Arabidopsis thaliana: one gene and its partner. The protein of the gene in region 2 interacts with the protein of the main gene of each other region in a pairwise test. Each region holds a gene or a part of one and is shown on either strand. Other genes may lie near its edges.

The links.
Region 1: the proteins of ENODL18 (region 2) and UBC17 interact in a two-hybrid assay, tested with the Arabidopsis thaliana proteins (one large-scale study listed by BioGRID).

Annotation. Positions count from the first base shown.
Region 1 is NC_003075.7:17,200,186-17,203,632, reverse strand, and holds UBC17 (ubiquitin-conjugating enzyme 17), read right to left. Parts: upstream 1,712-3,447; 5' UTR 1,665-1,711; coding exon 1,635-1,664; intron 1,532-1,634; coding exon 1,428-1,531; intron 1,352-1,427; coding exon 1,249-1,351; intron 1,161-1,248; coding exon 1,097-1,160; intron 1,015-1,096; coding exon 926-1,014; intron 839-925; coding exon 743-838; 3' UTR 645-742; downstream 1-644. Other genes in the region: D2HGDH (FAD-linked oxidases family protein), read right to left, coding at 3,161-3,253, 3,338-3,447. UniProt on the Arabidopsis thaliana protein: Accepts the ubiquitin from the E1 complex and catalyzes its covalent attachment to other proteins.
Region 2 is NC_003070.9:2,686,566-2,690,767, reverse strand, and holds ENODL18 (early nodulin-like protein 18), read right to left. Parts: upstream 1,889-4,202; 5' UTR 1,659-1,888; coding exon 1,466-1,658; intron 1,381-1,465; coding exon 887-1,380; 3' UTR 518-886; downstream 1-517. Other genes in the region: CPNIFS (chloroplastic NIFS-like cysteine desulfurase), read left to right, coding at 2,221-2,418, 2,509-2,802, 2,878-3,064, 3,174-3,319, 3,401-3,473, 3,590-3,653, 3,733-3,832, 3,937-4,095. UniProt on the Arabidopsis thaliana protein: May act as a carbohydrate transporter.

The DNA of each region.
Region 1 (3,447 bases), on a different chromosome or scaffold from region 2:
AGCTTTGAGATTGTGTGAGCTTGGTGTTGAATTGTTAGTGCTTATTAGGTTTGAGAATTGGAAATGAACATTAATTTGATTCTGGAATTGCATAAAGTTGCTTGCTTTGTTTTTGTAAGGGGAGTAAAGTTCTGAGCTTGACGTTGAGTTTCATGAAGGGCCTTTGAAGTTTCTTGTCGAAATGTACAGAGCAAGAGCAATTAGAATAGCTTTTGTAGTCTATTGGGAAACATGTGAAATTGCTTGGTCTATAAACACTTTTAGTAGGTATTCTAGCATCTGTATGATTCGTGTTTGCTTCATATGCTTAAGCTTTAGGTTTTGACATTGCAGGTGTTATTAAAATGGAGCATGAGCAAGAACAAATGAAGCTTCTGCTGAGTAGTCCTTCCTAGTGTTTATTACAAATGTAAGATGTGATGGAAAGTCATCAGCAGCTCTTTTCTTTAGAGATAGAAACAGATTTTTGTCTTCTATCAAATATACACGAAGGCTTGTTAGAAGCAAAGTTCTCTCTTCTTTGGATCAATCATTCTCTCAGTTCTTGGTTTGTACTAACAGTTGATGATTTCTTTCATATAATAATGAATCATGTTATTTCCAAATTTTCAAGTTTTATGCTCAAGCTTTTCGTATGGTTAAACTGTAGAAAGAAGCTGTTCTTGTTTTAAAGATAGCAACAGATCAAGAACTCGACCTGAGATCTTACAATTCGTTTGTAATCACAATATTATAGGAGATGTTATACTTTATCGTCATGGAAACGCCACCTAGTTTCTTTGGGAGATCTTCCATGTTTGCAGTTTTTCAAGTAATGGTCATTGTCTTTCGGCTTTTGCTGTAAGGAGAGAACAATAAACATCATAAGAAGAAGATTATTCTGTGAAAGCCTTTGAAATATGAGAAGAAGATAAAACACACAAACCTTCACGGATGAGCTGGAGAGCATTGAGAGAATGCTGAGACAGATGGAACTTAGTCTCATCGCCGGTGACCACGAATCATACAAGACATCTGCATAATCAAAAGAACACATAGAAGGGTCTTGTCATTGGACTTTGAAACAGAGTGAGTCATTGTGTTTGTATGTACTTACCTAAACAAATGTGACCGTTGCTGTAAATATGAGGATGAAGTGGAGCTGGATGCTGAAAGATAACCTGTTTTATATGTGGAACCATCGGGTTATGAGATTGATGCGATGATTAAGTATCGTTAAGTATTAACAAAAGGAGTTAGAGGACGAACCTGTGGAGCTTCCATAGGATAATGCTCAGGGAACTCAACTTGAAGTTGGTAAGTTTCATTGGCGTAAAGAGTTCCTGGAACTCCATGCACTTCAATGATCCATCTGTTTACACCAACAATTCAACATTACATCACCGATTATCAATATTCGAAGGAAAGACAATAAAATGATTATGTACCGTTGGAGATTATCAGAGACTCTGTGCTTGAAACCAGAAGGAGGATTGGTTTGCCACTCCATGAACTCTTTCTGCAACCGGTTCGTGGCGATTTTGGTCAGACCCTAACATAGTAAGAACAAGAGAGAGATGATCAAACCAAAGACAACAATGGAATTATAACCAAAAAGGTACTGTTATATTTAGTTAAAGAAACAATTAACCAACCTTGCGAGTTGATTCAGAAGAACTCGTCATTTGTGTTTATTACAGTGAGTGTGAGAGAGAGAGATTGTGTGTGTTTTGTCTCCTTAGCCATATCCAGTGAGCTTTTTATAGTGTCTTATCATCTTTGCAATGTGTCTAAAGCGTTTGGGTCTATGTCCAGTCATCAATCCGACGTCGTTTTTATTGTGTCGGCTCTCTTTAATCCGGGACTTTCCACTTGTGTTGGAGAAGCGAATCTTACACGCTTTTGCTACTCTCGCGATCATGATCAAACCAGTTAGGAATATTATCATAAAACATTCCAATATCTATTTCGGAAAACCAAATTTCTTAAATTAAAAATCTCATACCATTATGAATATCTGAGTTATGTAAATTTTAGGATAACCAAACTGATGCATGCATATTATTGATATTAACCAAAAATAAGAATTGATACATGCATCAGGTAAAAGTTGGCTTGTAACATTATTTTAATTTATTTCCGGTTTATGGATCCATCATTCAACGATGCCTTGGATTTTTAGCGATGATATATTGCTTTCATTGTCTTATTGCCCTTGTCCTTCTGATTATTTTGAATGGATCGATGGTTACAAAAGTTGTAAGCAACTTGATTATATATCAAAACTGACTAGTCATAATTACAATTATGATGCATGATGTTGTTGTATGCATTGGCTTCACCTTAAACCAAAACTTGTACACATTTGTTCCATGGAAACTATGGTCTATGAACTATGGTAATACGGATCTTATATTCCTATCTAGTTAGGTCCAACTTAGGTCTCAGAAGAATATATACTTGGTAGAACTTAGAACAAATATGTTAAAATCTATAGCTTATCTCTTAAATTAGAGAAGTTAGTTAGACTTATACAAATCAATCGGACCAGATATTATTCCGGTTTATCTGACCGATCTGGTTTCTCCTAGTAAGACATTAAAGAAAGGTAATACATGAAGTAAAAACAGAACTATGGGGAAAAATAAAAATAAAGTCTTTTTGTGAACAAAATAAGAAAATCCATTACAACAGAAATTCCAAGAATAGAAAGATATTATGTGAAGATTCTTGAAAATACTATTATTATAGATTATCTTTTCGAGTTTTGGTCTACATACACTGCAAATTTTAACTTTAAATACACGTAAGATCAATAGGTTTAGATTCTTTCTTATCCTTTACTAAAAAGATATTAAAACAAGGTAACAACAACAACAACAACAAAGAAGAAGAAGCGAAGCATATACACTTTTGAGTTTAAAGACTTTTTAATCAGCACTTGTATTTTTGTTCCTTTGCATCAATCATATCGCTCAAACTTGGCTGCTCATGTTCCAAATTCCTGTTTGAAGAATCATCTCATCACCACCCTTGCATTCGCCGAAAAAAGAATGTCAATGATTCCAAAGTAAAAGATGATGATTCTTCACTTTTGACGTTGGAAGAGCATTCATAGATAGAAAGATAGATGCTTTCAATAATTTCGGTGCGTAATCATAAAGCATAATAATCTTTTACCTTAGTTGGAGAAGAGAGAGTGAGGAAGAACTTTGTAAGGGTTGAGAATTCCCTTTGGGTCCAGCAACTTTTTAATGGAAGCCATTAATGCAACCTGCATAATATTATATTCCGGTAAGAATAGAGTGACACGATAGTTCTATACATAGTTTCCATACGTTGTTTGTTGTTAACTTACAGTTTCGGGTGATTTGCTGTAGAAGATTTCATTAGCTTTCATTACACCTAATCCATGTTCCGCACTGATGCTTCCACGGTGCTTTGATGTCCACTCATAGACATAAGGCT
Region 2 (4,202 bases):
TCTTGACTTGACCACAAATAAATAGTCCCTTCTTTTGGAGTTTCTTGACTAGCGAAAATGTGGTCAAACATGATAGACAATTAGACATCACATCCTGAATGGAATCCATAATCTCTTGAGTTAACATGTTAATGCATCCTTAAGCTTTTTAGCACAGTTTCTATGTCAACTCATGTAATGATCATTTTGATTAACCATGTTGTTGACGATGTTCTCATCATTTCCTTTCTTGTGATAATGATTTGACGACCTTTAAATTGGTTAAAATTGTTGTTGACAGTATTTTTTGTATATAATTAATGTAAAAGTAAAATCCCCGTGATTGGAAATTCTAGAATATGTCAAATTATTTAAGTTCTTTGATACAATACACCTTTTAAAAACTTTTGTAATAAAAGTGGTTGGAAAAAACAATTTAGATAACGGATGAACATTAATTAATCAACTTTATAGATTTGTCATTTGTGACTACAAATATTGTAGATACAATGAATTAGTCCATCAAATCAGATTAGTATGTATAACCTAATAATCTGTAGTGGAGTCGGTATTGTGTCACCTACTAGATTTATATCCGTCATAATGCATATTGTTGTTGATACAATTAGATCATAAAAACAAAAATTGCAGTTCTACGTTGAAGCATCTCGGAGAACAAGTGATACTCAACTTTGAGACATCAAAATCCGAAGTAAAAAACTGAACATAATACAAACTATATTCGATAAAAAAAGGATAACTCATGATCTTTACTCTTTTTTTCTTTATTCCCTCACTGCTTTAAAATTTCCACTAATACTCTTTTGTTTCTTTGATTATTATTATCCTAGTTATGAAAAAGAAGAAAACAGAATGCATATACATACAAATATGAAAGAATATTTGATTAAAATGATGCAAAGAGCCCCATAAAGACAAAACAAAACAAACTAGTTTTTGTTGTGGAAGAAGAACTTTTTTTACTATGAACCTCTTTATCATCATCAGCACTTTCAATATCTTTAGGATGATCGAAATTGGCCGGGACGATGGTATCAGGAGCAACTTCATCATCACCGGACTGAGAGGATTCGCTAGGTCCAGGTGCAGCAGCATCATCTGGTGATGATGAATCTGGTAAGCCCTGACCATGTGTTACATTGATCATAAAATGCTGACCGAATTTACATTGTTCGCCATCATAGTTTCCCGAGAAGAAATAATTGGAACCTTCTTTAACAAGAGGAACACTTATTGAGACGGGAACAGGAGATGTTGCTGAAGGATTTGCAGCCGACCACTCTGTTGTATCATTGTTTTCATTGTTGTCGTAATCACAATCTTTGTATGTTTTGAAATCATATGTCTGAACCACCGAATGGTTGCTATCTGTGTTGAATACTACATATTGAAAACAAAACAAACGATATAACATTTTGCTAAGTTATTGTAGTAACGAAAATGGGGTTGAAGAAAAAAATCTTACTGAGGAAATCACCCAAAGAAAAGGATTTGGAATCGGCCCATTTCTGATAATTAGCAGAGGGTCTCTCTTGAATATCGAACCATCCCGTGGACTCTCCCACAGTGTAGTTCTTGTACGCATCAGCTGATAAACTCAGAAGCATAAGGCACATGATGAGTAACACATTGACACAAGATGAACAAGAAGGCGACATAATTCTTCTTACTCTCTTGTCCGTTTTTCTTGATTATAAATTGTGATTCGTTGATTGATCTTTCTTTGTAATAAAGAAAGGCATAAGAAACTGTACATAAAGTAATAATGAGCTCGTCATTGACTGCATATAAAACCAAGACATGTGTGAGTGTGACATGTGGACAATTCTTGGGGATGCGAAGGAACATGAGACGATACGAAGTGGTCGGTCCAATCAAATGACAACGCCTCTTTGCTCTTCCCCATGTGATCTCTCACTCTCACACCTTACTTTTGCTGTCTTCGCTTCCCTACGTATCATTACTTCTTTCATAAATATCTGTCAACTGCCTTTTTCTACTAAATGGAGGATATTTTAGATAACGTGTTTTGTAGTGTTTCAAAGTCGGTTGAACCGGTATTTAACCGGTTTGATTGGACCTTAAAAACCAAGGGCCCATTTAATGGAGTAAAAGGCCTAATTCGGCCCATATCTTTAGATGAAATTAATCTTTTGACCGCCGCCTGTGGTCGAACTTGTGACTTTGAAGACTCACTCTTGTTCATTCGTCTTCTCCACCATGGAAGGTGTGGCTATGAAACTCCCGTCGTTCCCTAACGCCATCTCCATCGGCCACCGGAGCTTCTCCCGCGTTCGTTGCTCCTCTTCGCTATCCGTTTGTTCCGCCGCCGCCGCTTCCTCCGCCACCATCTCCACTGATTCCGAATCCGTCTCTCTCGGCCATCGCGTTCGAAAAGATTTCCGAATTCTCCACCAGGTTTGTCCACTTTCCATAAACCTGATTAACTTTGAATTGTATGGATTTGAAAATTAAGCAATTTTACCATTGATTGAGTTTTTATTTCAGGAAGTGAATGGGTCAAAGCTTGTGTACTTAGACAGTGCTGCAACTTCTCAGAAGCCAGCAGCTGTATTGGACGCTTTGCAGAATTACTATGAGTTCTATAATTCCAACGTTCATCGAGGAATACACTATTTAAGTGCTAAAGCTACAGATGAATTTGAGTTAGCTAGGAAAAAAGTTGCTCGTTTCATCAATGCTTCTGATAGTAGAGAGATTGTTTTTACAAGGAATGCCACTGAAGCCATCAATCTTGTAGCTTATTCATGGGGTCTTTCTAATCTTAAACCAGGAGACGAGGTTTGGCTTTACTTTTATCAATCCATCTTGTTGAGATTCTTCCAAATGAGATTGTGAATGATGCAAGCTTTTCAGGTTATACTTACAGTTGCTGAACATCATAGTTGCATTGTTCCTTGGCAAATTGTATCTCAAAAAACTGGAGCAGTTCTAAAGTTTGTGACTTTGAATGAGGATGAAGTCCCTGACATAAACAAGTTGAGAGAATTGATTTCTCCAAAGACAAAGCTCGTCGCTGTTCATCATGTTTCTAATGTTCTTGGTAGATTCTTTTTCATGTTCTCATCATATTCAATTTGTTTGGCTTGTATATGTGTTTAATTTTTCCATGAAAGAAGGTAAGTATCTAACTTATGTTTCTTTTTGTTTAGCATCTTCTCTTCCTATTGAAGAGATTGTGGTATGGGCACACGATGTTGGAGCGAAAGTTCTAGTGGATGCTTGTCAAAGTGTTCCTCACATGGTGGTTGATGTCCAGAAGCTTAATGCTGATTTTCTAGTTGCGTCTTCTCACAAGGTTGGAATTGTTTATTTTTCTTCATGAAATGCATAATAAGCCCTGTGGCAAGCTTATAGTAATATGATAATCATGCTTCAGATGTGTGGACCTACAGGCATTGGGTTCTTATATGGTAAGAGTGATCTTCTACATTCCATGCCTCCATTCTTAGGTAAGCAGTCTATCTAATATTTCTTTATGAAAACAGTTTATCATATCTGTTTAATCAAGGATGGGACTGGACTGAGTCCCACTTCTTTTTTTCCTTGTATTTCGATCCTCTTTTAGGTGGCGGAGAAATGATCTCAGATGTATTTCTTGACCATTCAACTTATGCGGAACCTCCATCCAGGTAGGGATTCTACATATATTAGTTACTAATCTGCATAATTGCTGCAGTTTAGAAATAAATATATTTAAGTTTGTATCAGATTTGAAGCTGGAACACCTGCAATAGGAGAAGCAATTGCCCTTGGAGCAGCAGTTGATTACTTGTCAGGAATTGGCATGCCGAAAATCCATGAATATGAGGTTTAATTTTATTTTCCTACAACTAGACGTCAATGACGTACATACAGTCACGGAGATTCTCACATGTTTTCTAACTGTAGATTTTAATTTCTTGTGTCATCCAGGTAGAGATTGGTAAGTATTTGTACGAGAAACTGTCTTCCCTGCCTGATGTGCGGATATACGGTCCCAGACCTTCTGAAAGTGTTCACAGGGGTGCTCTTTGTTCCTTCAATGTGGAGGGCTTGCACCCAACTGATTTGGCAACCTTTCTTGATCAGCAGGTTTGTTATAATTGGGAGCTATCTGTCCCATCACATACTGGTTTTCTCTTATCTTGAACGTATTCTTTTAATATGAGGTAGTACCTCAAGTAGGATAAGGGCACTAC